4 linked regions of the Xenopus tropicalis genome follow. The protein of the gene in region 2 interacts with the protein of the main gene of each other region in a pairwise test. Links are inferred from orthologs where the notes say so. Each region holds a gene or a part of one and is shown on either strand. Other genes may lie near its edges.

Evidence for each region.
Region 1: the proteins of itsn1 (region 2) and dlgap1 interact in a two-hybrid assay, tested with the Homo sapiens proteins (2 studies listed by BioGRID and IntAct). The link is inferred for Xenopus tropicalis from reciprocal best matches to the Homo sapiens genes ITSN1 and DLGAP1.
Region 3: the proteins of itsn1 (region 2) and snap25 interact in a two-hybrid assay, tested with the Homo sapiens proteins (2 studies listed by BioGRID and IntAct). The link is inferred for Xenopus tropicalis from reciprocal best matches to the Homo sapiens genes ITSN1 and SNAP25.
Region 4: the proteins of itsn1 (region 2) and kif5a interact in a two-hybrid assay, tested with the Homo sapiens proteins (2 studies listed by BioGRID and IntAct). The link is inferred for Xenopus tropicalis from reciprocal best matches to the Homo sapiens genes ITSN1 and KIF5A.

What each region holds. Positions count from the first base shown.
Region 1 is NC_030682.2:106,711,737-106,715,687, forward strand, and holds the start of dlgap1 (disks large-associated protein 1), read left to right. Parts: upstream 1-1,145; 5' UTR 1,146-1,175; coding exon 1,176-2,135; intron 2,136-3,951. UniProt on the Homo sapiens protein: Part of the postsynaptic scaffold in neuronal cells.
Region 2 is NC_030678.2:14,137,932-14,142,175, forward strand, and holds the start of itsn1 (intersectin-1), read left to right. Parts: upstream 1-1,438; 5' UTR 1,439-1,672; intron 1,673-4,244. UniProt on the Homo sapiens protein: Adapter protein that provides a link between the endocytic membrane traffic and the actin assembly machinery. Acts as a guanine nucleotide exchange factor (GEF) for CDC42, and thereby stimulates actin nucleation mediated by WASL and the ARP2/3 complex.
Region 3 is NC_030681.2:26,669,148-26,673,388, reverse strand, and holds the start of snap25 (synaptosomal-associated protein 25), read right to left. Parts: upstream 2,807-4,241; 5' UTR 2,739-2,806; intron 1-2,738.
Region 4 is NC_030678.2:140,672,467-140,676,662, reverse strand, and holds the start of kif5a (kinesin heavy chain), read right to left. Parts: upstream 2,807-4,196; 5' UTR 2,644-2,806; coding exon 2,509-2,643; intron 1-2,508. UniProt on the Homo sapiens protein: Microtubule-dependent motor required for slow axonal transport of neurofilament proteins (NFH, NFM and NFL). Can induce formation of neurite-like membrane protrusions in non-neuronal cells in a ZFYVE27-dependent manner.

The DNA of each region.
Region 1 (3,951 bases), on a different chromosome or scaffold from region 2:
CTTTATTTTCCCTCTTTGATAAATATGACCCAATGAGTCTGAGCTATTAAACAGTGTACTAAAGAATGAGTTTTGTTTTGAATCAGCTTATCTGCAACATGGAGCTTTGCTTATCTGCATCATTTTAGCCTACAGCTGGATCATTACAAGTGTGAAAGGTTTTTTCCCTTTGTTTTTTTTTCTATTTTTGGGGGGGAGAGGGGGCATAGTCAAGTACAGTAATAGTTCAATTAATTTGCAAGTTAAGTTTCAAATTCAAAATCCATAATAATTATCTTATTTTATAAAAAAGAATGTAAACTAAACTGCAGTTGCACGTCTGTATCTACAGCAATTATGCAGAAATATCTGCTTTTTGTTCTTTGATATCTGCTACTGTATATATTGCTATATATAGATAACAATTGTATGCATATTTATATAGAACTGCAAATATCTGAATGACACTTGGCATGCACAGCTAAAGGAATGATATTAAAAATAATTGTGTGTATATATATTATATATATATATAAGGTCATGCTCTGCACTAAATTTTAAACCATTAAGTGCACTGAGGATGTGATCACAAAATTCATATAGACAGATATTATTGTAGCGCCCATCCTTCCCAGCTACAGTCAGGTGATCCCAATGGTGGCCAATAAAAGAGCAACTATTTAGAAGTTTTTTCCTTGAAAGCAAGCAACTTGCATGTAAAACTCTGTGTAAAATGTATAATGAAGCCATAGAATTCTTAATGAATCAGGTGAAAGTGAGTGTAGGACTGGCCAGACCAGGGATGACTTTGACAGAGTTGACAGCTTGAATATTTTACAGTTAATGGACTAACAATCCCTTTTTTGTTTAAAGAGAAGGTAATTTCTTCAGAATGTAGTATATGTATATACAGTATATAGATAATAGGTAAGTATTGAGGACCTGTTGTTTCTGTCTATATGAACTTTGTGGTCACAGCTTCATTGGACCTGCTTAATGCTTTAATATTTAGTGGGGAGCACAAGTTCCCCTTTTTTGCTAATATAAAATAGCAATATTGTAATATATATGTATTATAAAATCTGTTAAATAGTCAGAATTGCTCATTTGTTTCTTATTTTTCAGGAATAAAGTAAAGTTCTGCTCATCAACCAACATCAATAGTCAATGACTTAGCAGTATTCTTAAAAACAACAATGAAGGGATTATCGAGCAGCCGCAGCCATCATCATGGGGTTGTATGTGATTCAGTATGTGAAACTCTGCCTCATCACACAGATAGAAAGCCATATTTGCTGAATCCCGTGGATCCTCACCCTGCAGATCACCCATACTATGCTCAAAGGAACTCCTATCCAGTAGATCATATGATATCCTATGGGGACCAGATTGCCAGCAGTACATTTCCCAGAAGACATTATAGTTCCCACCATGACATTAAAGATGATTGTGCTCTAGTTCCCCATGGATCAGTTGGAAAAGGCAACCGCCTTCCTTCATCTCTCTTGGATCAGTTTGAAAGACAAATTCCCATTAATCGTGATGGGTATCATACGTTGCAATACAAAAGAAGTGCAGTTGAACACCGCAGTGATAGTCCTGGGAGGATCCGCCATTTAGTCCATTCAGTTCAAAGACTCTTCACTAAATCCCATTCCCTTGAGGGTCCAATGAAAGGAAATGCCAATGGAAACAAAGCTAATTCAGATGAAATGCAGACTGTGAGATATGGAAAACGTAGTAAGAGCAAAGAAAGGAGAGCAGAAGTAAAACCTAGGGCTAATATACAAGGATGGTGGGGGTCACAGGATAACTTAGACAATGATGTTTGCATCTACCACGGTCCATCTACTGTCATGACTATGGGGAGATGCCCTGATCGTTCCACTTCCCAGTATTTTATGGAAGCATACAATACAATTAACGATCATGCATTAAAGTCATCACGAAGCAATAATGATGTGAAATGCAACACTTGTACGAATCTACCTGTGAGTTTGGATAGTCAGATGTTAAAGAAAAGTTCTTGGGCATCTTCACTAACAGTAAGCAGGGCACGGGAGGTCTATCAGAAACCTGCTATAAATATGGACCAAGCTCTAGTTAAATCTGAATCAATGACTCAACCACAAGAGCGACCATGTCAGTACCTGCAGGTAGGAGCTCCTGTTTCTTGGCTTGTTTTTATTTGATTGGTTGTCTTTTGCCCAGGTTTTATAACAAAATGGAGAAACTGAATTCTCTTAGGGCTGCTGCCCAAATTGAATTTATTATAATCCACACCTACTAATTACCAATGGTTTTTTTTATCTCAGGACTATTGAGACAATTTAGGGAATTTAGCTCTTAGAGTATAGCTTTTAAAATGTGTTAAGACCCAGGTGTTCTGTGCGTTATACCCAAGTGACCTAGTCTATCTGCTCTTTTGCCAAACACATGTAATGGTAGTATTTCAGCAGTCAGCTAAAAGACTAAATCACTGGGGACAAATGTCGACTGAGCTGCCAACAAACTCAGGGACTAAATAGTGTAATCATTTGCATAACTTAAATAAATCCTTTTATTCCTAAACAGATGTTTATATGGCAGCAAAGACATTTTAGAGGCCCCTGCTGGAATGCTAAAAAGACACAATTCATAGTTTAATCCATGGTGTACCAAAATAGGATAGGGTCAGTGTTACAGAGGATTTTATGCTTAACTGCCTATGTAAACTGAAACATAAAATGGACCCACAAATTGGATATAGGTAGGCACCCCACAAAATCCACCCTACTCCAGGCTTGTGATAACAAAGTATATTTATTCTGTGTATTTCAACATAAGCTCAGCCCTATGGATTTCATGCTACACATAGCACTTTCTTATAGCAATAGTAATTGCTATGCATAGCATAAAATAATACATGCACCTCACCTCCATACCTGTTCCCAGATGTCACTTTAAAAACTTGGTAACCTTACCCGATGTACTACTTGAGCTGTGGGTTCATATTGAATCCTAGTGGAGAAAATTAACCATTTGATTGTAGGGTAAATGCAATATAAACAAATGAGTCATAAACCAATTTTTCTTGCCATGGATTTTTCTGGCCTATTATAAATCAAAGCAAACCTAGAGAAGCTAGAAGCATAGGAAATGCTTTTTCTGCTGATTCTTTTTGTTCCCAGAAAGAATCAGTGTTCCTGTGTTGATGTCTCTGCAATTTACTGGAATTGCTGCTACAAGCCAAGACGTTAGGCTGACTGGCTATAGTATATTCAGCTGTGGTTAACCTAAACTGTAGGATCTACTGAAGAACAAGAGTTACCCAGCTCACTAATTTGTGCCCCAGGCTGGGCAAATGCAGAACGGGATTGACCAATGCAAATCCCAGCACAATAAGCCTGTTTCTATCTAAAGTAGACATTTGTTATCCCAGGGATATTAGTTGTTTTAAGAATCAGCAGCAAACAAAATATGAGTGTTTTAAAACAATCAAAATATAATGTACTGTGGCCCTGCACTGGTAACATGGGTGTGTTTGCCTAATAAACACTACTATAGTTTATATAAATACCCAGCTGTGTAGCCATGGGGGCAGCCATTCAAGCTTGAAAAAAAGCAGATAAGGCAAAGGTTACATAGCAGTTAACAGATGGGCTCTATAGAATACAATGGTATTGTATCTATTACCTGCAATGTAACCTGTGCCTTTTCTCCTTTTTTCCAGCTTGAATGGCTGCCCCCATGGCTACACAGCTGTGTATTTACTGTATATAAATTATAGTAACATTTATAAAGCAAAAATACAACTTTTACCTGTGTACAGCAACACTACACTAGTGGACTCATTTACTAACCATCGATATTTAATTTTAAACTTTTCGAAATTTTTTCGAAAAAGTTGCAGAGAAAAAACGCTGCAACTTTTCCAAGATTTACTATGTATTTAAACTGCTAAAAATCTGAATTTGACAATTTGCCAGATTA
Region 2 (4,244 bases):
TTTGCTTTTAAAAAGTGGTCTTTCTGACCCTCGCTATTCCCTCTATTGTTAAGCTGTACCATTAAACAACGTAGGGGTATCCAGGCATTTTCCAGCCAAGAGTCCAATCCCCATAATGCCTATCATGAGTCTGTGATTCTGTACAGGCCTGTTACTCACAGAACACAGCTTTCTTGCCCTGACCTTATAATGTTCACACAGCCAACATCCTTCCACAACGCCTTCATTCCATTATTCAACCTAACACCCCTACGCTATAAGATCCCCCCAATTCTCCCTGCGCCTGGGATCTATGGAACAGAGGAGAATCAGAGCCAGACGGCACAACCCACCCTGACCCTGCTCAGCAGCGCCCCTTCTGCAGAGTCCCCCCGCATCATTGTCATGTGACGCATAGCTACGGCAGCCATCTTAAGGCCTGGCATATTAACCTCAACATCTGTCTTGCCAATCTAACGCATTCTTTCTGTATCCCTTATTTCTGAAGTATTTTTTTTTATTGTACTCTGTATCTTTTTATAAAAACTGTGTTGTGATTCATGATTTTATGTTTTTATGTTCTGTGAAACAAATGTTAATTATGAATTTACTATGAACTTGGTTTCAATAAAGCTCTTTGAAACCTTATTGCTGAAGTATTGCTTTCATAGTCAGTGCAAAGCTCCTGAGTGAAGGGTAAAAATGCAAAATGTCTTGGGCCCCTTTAGGGCAAAGACACACGGAGCTACTAGTAGCAGCTACTTGTCACGGCTACTAAAACAGACAATGCTGATCATTTACTGATAATTGTCTCTACATGTGTTTTAGCAGAGGCAATTCTCAGTATTGTCTATGGCAGGGTATTTTCTGGAGTTTAGTAGCTGCTACTAAGTATCTCCGTGTGTCTTTACCCTTATCTGTGTCTGAGCAAAGTGGTTTACATAAATGAATCAATCGCACCCTGCATAATCCACAGTTGCTCAACTAAAGAATAGGTAATATGTATCTATAGCATAAATAAATTTGAAGCAACTGGACTTGTTTAGTTCTCAGTTGCTTCAAATTTATTTATACTAGATATACCATGACCTGGATGAATGAAAATCTTCATAGACATGTATCTATAGCCTTCCCGAGGCTGGAAGCTCCTTATAACGTCCTTTCTGCCCAACCCTATCTCTGGATTAATGTTTCCAATCTGTCTTTGTCACATGCTATGCTTTACCCCTCACATAAAGGTTTAAGTGTTAGCGCCCTCAAGGCTAATGGCCGCCGTAGACACCAGCGGTGTGAGTCATGTGAGGAGTTCGCTGGCGTGATGACGACACCACACCCATTGAATGGCAGGGAGAAAAAGAACGCGGCATACTATTGGTTGAAGCTACAGAATAGGCGTGTCTTTCCTTGTTTTTGATTGGGCCGGCACCGCGTGACGTCAGAAAGCGGGTTGGTGGTGTGGGTGCGTAGTATTGGTGGGAGGGGACGGCGGTGCGGGGTGAGGGGATCCGCACTGTACTACAGGCACAAGGGGAGAGTCGTACGGACACGGGCATTGGGAGAGTAGTAAGGGGAGGAGGGGCGCTGAAGCAGAGGGCATGTTGCCATACAGCCGAGCTGTCTGAGAGGGGAGCCGTATTGGACATAGCCGGTGCTAATCCCTGTGGCAGAGGAGAGGGTGGAGGACCGCTATGAGGTGAGAGCTGTGCCGGGGCGCATTATTATCACCATTAAATATGATTAATGCTTTGCCTGGATTATGTGCGGGGTGGAACAGCTGCAGCCACCAATGGCTCGGCAAATGGCTGAGGGATATGGAGTTGGGCGGCCAACATGGGATTTGGGGATTCAGTTAATTACATGGCAATGCTTGCAATTCTGTATGTCAGTGATTTCCCCATGCTGATGTCCTGCAATGGAATAAACCAACATAGGGGAGCACTCTAGGGAGACAAGCAGTGCTGGCTGGGGGGCTCCACCCAAGGGAGAATGGCATAGCCATCTACCAATTCATTAATACAATGTATCTGCTACCAACAGCAGCATCCTTCTGTCTATATGCCTTGTGTTTCTGACTCCTGAAACAATGTAGCAGAACCCTGGGCAGATGTGACATTGCAACACTGTTTCACAAGTCAAGGCTAAACACATAAATGTTGCCTGAAAAGCAATTACATTTACTCAAAACTTTGAGCTTTAACATAAAGTGGAAACCTACTTACAACTGCATATTCTTCAACTAATAATAACTACAAAAGATATAAACACATTTTATTGACCCAAGGTCCTTGTAATGCTTCTATAGGGGGCCAGTACATTGACTTACATAGGCATTGAGACCCCATGGTTTTCTTTGTATATATAAACCGTCATATAGAGGGGCACCTCTCTGAACAAATATGGCTTACTGCTATGTATGTATGTATACAGGATCAGGGCAATAGGCATTATAGCTAAAAATATGTGTTTCCTAAATTTCAGTTTGTCATTATTATTTGGATTTTAGATGGAATTTAAATTAAGTAGCAGTGCCATATTTATCATGAATTGTAATGTAAAAATGATCTATATCTATCTATCCTTCCTCCTGGTAAGGGCGGTCCAATTTCTGTTTGAAGTGCGTTTCCCAGGTATTCATTTTTTAGGAATCTGTTGCCTTCTAAGGTGTCATTTAGTCTCAGCACTTTGATTTTCAGCCAATGTACAGGTATGGGATCCCTTATCCGGAAACCTGTTATCCAGAAAGTTCCAAATTATGGAAAGGCCATTGCCCATATACTCCATTATAAACAAATAATTCTAATTTTTATAAATGATTTCCCTTTTCTCTGTAATAATAAAACAGTACCTGTACTTGATCCCAACTAAGATATATTTACCCCTTATTGGGGGCAGAACAGCCCTATTGGGTTTATTTAATGGTTAAATGATTCCCTTTTCTCTGTAATAATAAAACAGTACCTGTACTTGATCCCAACTAAGATATAATTACCCCTTATTGGGGGCAGAACAGCCCTATTGGGTTTATTTAATGGTTAAATGATTCCCTTTTCTCTGTAATAATAAAACAGTACCTGTACTTGATCCCAACTAAGATATAATTACCCCTTATTGGGGCAGAACAGCCCTATTGGGTTTATTTAATGGTTAAATGATTCCCTTTTCTCTGTAATAATAAAACAGTACCTGTACTTGATCCCAACTAAGATATAATTACCCCTTATTGGGGGCAGAACAGCCCTATTGGGTTTATTTAATGGTTAAATGATTCCCTTTTCTCTGTAATAATAAAACAGTACCTGTACTTGATCCCAACTAAGATATATTTACCCCTTATTGAGGCAGAACAGCCCTATTGGGTTTATTTAATGGTTAAATGATTCCCTTTTCTCTGTAATAATAAAACAGTACCTGTACTTGATCCCAACTAAGATATAATTACCCCTTATTGGGGCAGAACAGCCCTATTGGGTTTATTCAATATTTAAATGATGTTTAGGAGATTTAAGTTACGGAGATCCAAATTATGGAAAGATCCCTTATCCGCAAAACCCCAGGTCCTGAGCATTCTGGATAGCAGGTCCCATACCTGTACTTGCACCTAGATGGTTAGCCCTAGGGGAATTTCTGTGCTCTAGAGTGTAAGCTCTTGTGAGCAGGTTGGGGGGCACTTGTGCTAGTTTTTCCTCACTGTTGTGGAAGCTCTAATGTTTGATAAATGATGAAAAGGCTTGGCTATATGGGAAGTCTCACCCCCTTACACAGTGACCCCACCCCCCCATGTTTGTAGGTCACCGCTCCCATCACAGCTTTGGCAGGTTTTTATATTGCCTCCTTCCTAGTGATAACGTGCAGCGCTGGATTAGGAGACATGACGCAAGCAGCTAATGTTTCAGAGCAATCGTGGTATCTGGGCTTCGTACACTTTCTCATTCTCCCTATGAAGGGATCCTCTGTGAGGAACGACCCACCCTATTCTGGCTTGTACTCCTATTCATTCATTGCTTGTCCTTTCATTGCTGTTGGCTGTGCTGAGTAATTTGGTGTACTACCAACATTAGAGATCATTGTACGGTCGTATTTCGAAATAGTCTCGCTACTAACCATTCGTGTTCCGACCTTTTGCCAATCGTCAGGGACAGATAAAAACATGTAAGTTGCATCCTGTTATTAGAGTGTGATGGGTTTTTCCTGTTTTTAGAATGTGATGAGTTTTTACTTCAGCTGGTTATCGCTTTAGATACCCGCAGTCTGGGACAGATTGTAGT
Region 3 (4,241 bases), on a different chromosome or scaffold from region 2:
TGTGTTGGTGAATGCAATGTTGTCGGTTTGTGTTGACTTTGCTTCCCTAGCTCTATTACTAAAAGGCAATGCATATAATAATGTACCAATTACATGAACGTGGTTATGTGCGAAATAACAGCCATTACTTTTCCGACTATTAAAAATTAGTTACAGTGCTCAAAAATTCACTGCAATGCTGTATTAAAGGAGCGCTGCCATACTATACTGCAATACAAGAATCCATGAATCAATAGGCCTGTTTTTTTGTAAATAGCTGTTCCAGTGACGCAGTTTGCAAAAGAGGGACTGGGGTTTCAGTTGCTTACATTAATAAGAAGCACTATAACAATCATTATACACAAATGTATACGTATTACTTTATATCCTGCATTAACCAAAATGTGCCTATGATAATAGGGCAAATTAATGAATGTAAAAGGCTCTGTCTCATAGTCAAATGATATATTATACAGATCACTATATGACATTAGGAGAGGTTTATGCCACATTTGTCACTTCATTTATTTAGCCAGACAGTCTCAAAGCAGGATATTGTACAGGTTGTTGGCCTACTGATCTGAACAAGAGGACTCATCCACAGTAATCCCCTGATATAGCACCTCTATCTGTTTTCCTCAGTACGCATTTCCTGCGTTGTAAAAAAAAAAAAAGAAATGCAGCCTGCCTCGCAATCTCCAGAGATGCATCAAAAATCCAATTCCAAATTCTGATTCTGAATAACCTCTACATTAAAGGGACTTCCATGTACACAAATGCCATCTGTTTCCTTTGCATCATGTTTTATGTATGTAAACACATGAGCGCCCTTTGATTAATGAGTGGAATGGGAGAATCTATTGTAATATACTTCATTTACAGGTCAATAATTTATATGATTATGCTACAGCTACGTTCTACTCAACTCACTAACATTAACGTATTCAGCTGTATTTATCAGCAAATGAATATCCGACAGTCTAAACAAACCTGCAGTACAGAGGTGTTAATAAAACAAGTGAAGAGCATAGAATTAAATATACAGTATATATACACTTTTAACAGGTATACAAATGTCATTGTAATAGCCTTTATCCTGATAGAACACGAGATATAGACCAATCTAGGAGTTTTGTTCTTGCAATGCAAGATACCCGTAACCAGATATCCAAATGTACTGTAATAGCAGTTCAACCAAATCCAACATTATTTGTATTTTTCCCTTGCTACGTGCTGCCATGGTCTGTGCTACAGCAGTGCCCAACTCAGTCCTTGGGAGCTGGCTGAAAAGGTGCATTGGGGTGGGGTCTCTCTGTTTTACAGTCATTCCACAACACATCGCTTTGCATGATGAAACTGCACCATTTGCTATAATATTACTATCAGGGACAGGTGGCAATCTGCTGCAAAATAGATCATTACTGGGTTTCACTGTCAGATGCATTGATTGATCACTGATCATGTGACCAAGTAATACATATCTTATTTATCAGTGAAATGAGATGGGTATAAGACACAAACAAGCTAATAACTGCAGTGCAATTGCTTCTGATAAATATTCTCTTAGGGCGCAGGTTAGTTTTGCCTGTAGAAGTCCCCTGCCGCCCATCTGAGCAGCTACAATGTCTGTGTAAAGGTGAAGCAGCTCTACAAACAATTCCAGCAGCCCTGAATGTGTTCCTCTGCCACTAGGGATGTAAGTCTAGCAGTGCCCTGCCTCCCTCCCTTCTTCAGCTAGAATGCAGATCCCCTCCCCCTCGCTTTCTCTCTAGTGGGTAACAAAACCAGCAGTAATTACTAATGCCCCTGCACGTAAATCTAACAGCTTCAAAGCCTGCCTTTTGACGCAAGTACGCAGAACTGTCTGGACGTGTCACCATTCCCACCCCCCCATTAGTCTTTGAAGTTCTAAGCTCTTCATATAAAAATATATACCTTTACATATGAATTTAATATGAAACATGCGAACATACACTGCACACCTTTATATCCCACACATGAGATATGCAACCTATGCCCCCAACATGCTGTTGTGAAGTTACAAGGCTGTTGGGAGTTTCAGAGTAAGTTGTAGTTCAACAACAGCTGTTTGGACATATCAGATACATATACACTATATCTATCTGTCATTGATCTATCTATCTAGCATGTACCCATCTATCCAGTATCTAACTACACCTTGTTGGAGGTCAGGAACGCGTATACATTCTATAAAGTATGGCAGCTAATGTTAGCAGTGCCCCTGGCACTATCTGATCATAATAATCGCAGCCAGAAGCCCACAAATCTGCTGTGGGGTAAGGTATAGGCTGGAGGCGAGTAAATCCCTTCCCTACAGTACAGCGTGTCGGTGCCAGACGCTGCGGCAGGGAGCGGGCGTTTTTGCTGCACTCACTCTGCAGTAGAGCGCTGTCCGCCGAGCTGCGGTGCTGAAACCGCCCACAAGCACAGTCTATGGGGCTGCTCTCACGTCTATTCCTACAGAGCCGAGCGCTGTGCCCAAAGGGACGCGGAAAAGCCCGATTTCCTTGCGACAAACGCCAAGGATGATTAAATCCCTTGCAGCCTGTGCAACACGAAAATAAATTTGTTCAAAAGCGAGATTAAAAATAACAAAAAAAAAAACGCCGCCTTCCATTCGACTGACAGCCCCAGACCTGATTTGTAGACACATACAACAATCGCAATCTTGGGCTAAAGGTTGGATAAATAGTAATGCAATAGGAAAACGTAGAAGCGACAAGCAGTGGTAGTCTTACCGTGAGTAGGGCGTAACCAGACTCTAAGGCTACTCTACAACCTTATTTGAAGGCAGTATTTGCAGGGAGGTAAGAACCACCGTTCCTGACCTCCTCAAGTCGTCTTCTTCAATGGAACTGAGCTCTGCCCTCATCAAAGATGGCCGTCCTTCTTGACGTCAGCAGCTTTTAATAGACATCTATCATGGGGCGGAGGGATCGGGCTGGGGGAGCTTGAGTCATCGTCTGCCTTACAGTGCTGCAATCCTTCGCATTTTAATATATGCGCCTTGATTTTCGCGCATCGCCCCCTCCCTGACAATGCTGCCGTATAACGGCTCCAAGATGGATTCTTTGCGACTAATGAGCTGCGGGATAGATTGGCTGTACAATGTGAGGGTGGGGGTGCGGCTGGGTGCCTTGCTCTGGGCTAATGCAGCACGGATTTCTTTTCGCCAAAGGGGTGGTGCAAAGGGATATCCCTCTCTGGTGGGTGCTCCTTATATGGGAAACCTACGTGGGCAGCCTGGCTATACTGGCGCTATAAGAGATTTCCTAGGATGCTGCGACTGAATGGGGGGGGGGGGGGGGGGATGCAGGTATAAACACTGGGTTTAGTCATCACTTATAACAGGTTCTAGCATTTCTAGCCAAATTACTTGCTGAGCTTTAGTTACCTTTTAGGTTTAGATCTTCAGACTAATTTCAAGTGGGAAGGGCTGTACTGATCATATAGGCACCCAAGGGCTCTTGCCTAGGGCTGCAGCGTCAGGGGGGCATCTCACAGGTACCTATATTAAGGAATACAGTCATGGGAAAACATGTTGTTTTAAAAAAAGCATTAGCTTCTCCAGCAGGATCCTGCATTGAAATCCATTTTTCAAAAACACATATTTTTTTATATTTCATTTTGAAATTTCACATTGGGCTAGCCATATTCTTCATTTCCCAGGGTGCCACAGCCATGTGACCTGTGCTCTGATAAACTTCAGTCACACTTTACTGCTGCGCCCCAAGTTGGAGTGATATCCCCCCCCCCCGAAGCCGATCAGCAGAACAATGGGAAGGGAACAAGATAGCAGCTCCCGGTATCAGAATAGCACTCAATAGTAAGGAATCCAAGTCCGGCTTGGGACTCCTCCAGTTACATGGGAGTAGGAGAAACAATAGGTTACCTGAAAGCAGTTATAATGTGTAGCGCTGGCTACATCTGAAAGCTCAGACTCTCTGCACTGAGATGGCGCCTACACACCAATATTACAGCTGAAAAAAATACATTTGTTGGTTCAAGAATAAAATTTTAAATGGTGGAGTGAATTATTAGCTATGTAAACTGTGTAATTTAGAAAGTACCCCATAAAAATCATGACAGAATCCCTTTAAATTAAAAAAAAATGAAACATTTCCTTAGTTGTTTTATAATCCTGTAGCGGAACTGAGGGGGAGGAGGGTACCCATTGTTTCCAATCCCTTCCCGAATGGCACATACGCACATACGTTAATAATTAGAACCTGCCCTGTGGG
Region 4 (4,196 bases), about 130 Mb from region 2:
GTACTCTCTGCAATATGGTGGGGATTATATGAACCCTTTCTGGGGAGAAGCATTTACTTGTGAGCCTTACATTACTCCTCATTATTATTAACATGTATTTATAAAGGGCCAACATATTCCACAGTGCTGTACAATAAATGGGTGTACACATTGACCATACAGAATTACATACAAACAACCAATAATTCATACAAGATGTGAAGAGAGCCCTGTCCAACACACAGGAAACATACTGCTCCATGCTGGCACAGACAGTAATGCCATATCCAGTATATACATACATGGTTCTGTGATGCCCAAATAAGTACTAAGTATGGCTACTTTCATTGGATTCTGTATAATGTCTCCAGCCCCTATTTACTTCTCTTTCCTGACACTGTACTACAGTCACATGCGATAACACAGGATAAGGTTAATGTGAACAGTGTAAAATATACAATATTTTGATTCATGCTGCATAGACATGATATATGTTTGTGTTTTAAAACAGGAGAAAGCAAACTGAGGGCTGTTCTAAAAATGGATTTTTCTGATATCCAAATGGCTTGTTCTTGTGACCTTGGAAAGGCCACGTCACCTTTTCTTATCTAATAAATGAGATCATCAGGGGCAGGGTATTGACAAATCCATAAATTGTTTGTGTCACCAAATAATTAGACCAAACCACTGAACCTTAACATTACTATATATATATTTGGCTTTACTAAACTGATACCACTGCAAAACACATTTTTGCTATTTAGTGTATAGGATGGTGCAGGCAGATTGAAGGTGCAGACAACAAGGAACCAGCAGTGATGACAACATCACATACATTATATGAGGTCACGAATGTCAATATGGATTCCAAGCACACTGACAGAAAGCTGTAGCAAGTAAGAAGAAAACTACAAACAAACATCAGACGACAGAGCTAAGATATAATAAGAACTATAAATGAAATACTTTTAACAATATTTTGAGAATAGGAAGATGTTAAGAGTTAAAAAAGAAAGCAGAGATAGAAAGATGACGAGACAGAGAGGGAGATAAACAGAACAGATATATGGAACAGATATGATGGATGGATGAAGGATAGATGATAGATAGATAGATACTAGTTATATAGATAGATAGATAGATAGATAGATAGATAGATAGATAGATAGATAGATAATAGGTAGATAGACAGGCAGATAGATACACAGAAGGATAGATAACAGATGATAGATTGATAGATGGATGATAGATGATAGATAGATAGATAGATAGATAGATAGATAGATAGATGATAGATAGATGATGATGATAGATAGATAGATAGATAGATAGATAGATGATAGATAGATGATAGATAGATAGATAGATAGATAGATAGATAGATAGGCAGACAGATAGATACACAGAGGGATAAATATATAGATAGGTCGATAGATGATAGATAGATAGATAGATAGATAGATAGATAGATAGATAGATAATGGATAGATAGATAGATAGATAGATAGATAGGCAGACAGATACACAGAGGGATAGATAGATGATTGATGATAGATAGATAAATAGATTGATAGATAGATGATAGATAGATAGATAGATAGATAGATAGATAGATAGATAGATAGATAGGCAGACAGATAGATACACAGAGGGATAAATATATAGATAGGTCGATAGATGATAGATAGATAGATAGATAGATAGATAATAGGTAGATAGACAGGCAGATAGATACACAGAAGGATAGATAACAGATGATAGATTGATAGATGGATGGATGATAGATAGATAGATAGATAGATAGATGATAGATAGATAGATAGATAGATAGATGATAGATGATAGATGATAGATAGAGGAACAGATAGAAGGACAGAAGTGAGAGGCAAGAGACATACTGAATGATAAATATGTGCAATATAATCCAATCAGTAAGGTGAAACTTTGGCACTGCCATTGAGGGGAGTGGTGACTTCTTAAATGCAATAAACAATTAGATGTTATAGCACAACACAATACAAAGGATCAGTCCATCGCACACTGCTTATTATACATAAATAGGGGTCTTTAAAATCTAAGAAGGCAAATAAGTAGAACCATGTTTATTTATAATGGGGAGCAAGCAGATGGTTTACAAGGGACCAATGAGATGAGGCATAGCAATAGCGCAATGCAGCCCCCCTAAAGGGAGGGGGGGATAAGATTGTGCGGAGCCAGCCCCAACTGTACTAGGAACACAGCCGTAAAGCCAGGATGCCTTGCCACACCCTACCCACAATGGACACCCAGCAACCTGCTCCAGGGAGGGGCCGTGGGTTCCACTGTACAAGCGGCTGAATGGAGCAGGAATGCCCCGAACATTGTGCCTTATAGAATACACAGATGGGGGTGTAGGGTGCAGACATGTCCATCCCCCATAGCGGGGTTCGTGTGGCCCCCCGATGTAGAATAGAGACGATCCGATGCTTGCGTGCAATCAGCCAATCAGTATGAGGCTGGGCTCAGTAATACACAGGCACAAACACTTACCCCAACGATGACAGTGTCCCCGCCTTGGAATATGGGCAGGAATTTGTCTCCTCTCTGCACCTCCGACTGGTTCAGGGGCCGAAACCTGCACAGGACCTTGATGCTGCACTCAGTGTTAATGCTGTTATCAGCCATGATGGGGGGGCAGGGAAGCTGTGCGGCAGGGAATGTGTTAGAGCTGTGGGTGATGCTGCTGGCAATGCTCGGCCGGTCACTGATGGAGATCAGGCGAGGCTCTGACTATTCCCAAGGTGCAGATGCAAGAGGCTGGCTAGGGTGTCCAGCCGGTACAATGGGCTCCTCTGCATGCAGCCTGCCTTACTGATAGTGCTGAGCCCCCTGTGCTGAGCCCCCTGTGCCTCGCTAGAGATGGAGGACGCGCTGCTGCTGCTGCTGCTGCTCAGGATGGTTCTGCAGTGATGTGACCAGCAGAGCTTTCCCGGAGTCAGTGCTGCAGCCTCTGCTAACGCTGCTTAATCATTCACTACGTCTGAGCAGCCCTTAAGGGGGTCTGTTCTCTCTTAAGGTGGAAATTGCAGCAGGACCAGTACAGGAGCCTGGGAGTCTGTAAATAAGCACTTTACTGATTGGTCGATGGCTGTCTCGGCACTGATGGGAAATCAGCATGCACGCCTCTGTTTATTTCCCATCTACAAGAATAACCTCAGCTGGGCATTGTATATTTACCCACCCAGGCACAGACATGCACCTTTTTTTTTTATAGGAGCCAGCATCAGTGTCATTAGAGTCATAAAACCATTTGGTTCTTTTTTTTCTTAATCTGGAGTTAAAAGGTCACTTTTTCCTAATGATGTTAGTGACATCTGTTCCCAAAACTGAAATATAATATATATATATATATATTTTTTTTTTTTTTTTTTAATGTACCCCCTATGGCCCACTCTGCTGCCAGGATTAATCTGCAAGTATCCCGCAGCAGCAGAAAAGGTTTTTTTCCAGATATGTTATTTTAACGTATAAGCACCCAAGGACCACCCCCCAACCTAAAGCTACCACCCTAGGCACAGGCCCACAAGTGCATATATAGTAAATATGGCCCCCTTACAGCACTGAGCACTATCACTTGTCAAGATCCTTGCTCACCCATGCAAAGTGCATGTGGGAAGATGGACAAATATTTTCTGTTTTGGAACCGTTTTAGCACAGAGAATAAATAGTTAAATCTGAAATGAAATTGTTATAGCAAATGCATTCCTTACCCCTCCCCATGCACCATATCATAACATATTCTCAGTTGTAATGAGATCAAGGCTTTGACTGAGAAGTTGTAGGTCATTCTTTTTTTGTTCTTTAAGCCTTGTGTTAATAATCATCATACCACTGAAATATTAAAGGACAAAATAAGGCATCTTTTCATGATAGAACCCCTGCAGAGGCCCCCCATCCCAAAACACCCCATCCCCAATCCCCATTACTGCCTAATTTGCTGTACTACATGAAAAATAGGCAATGGTTTCCAGTACCTTGCACCGTCCATTCATCCTTCTGTTATACCAAGATGCCCAGCAAGGTACTTACAGCAGTTTACATCACTCTAGGCATATTCTTTTTTTAGTTGTGGGTATCATTAGGTTTGGGCAACACTTACTGCTTTAAACTGTGCATTTGTAGCAGGCCTGGACTGAGATTTAAAAGACCTTGGCATTTCAAGGACACAAAGGACCAAA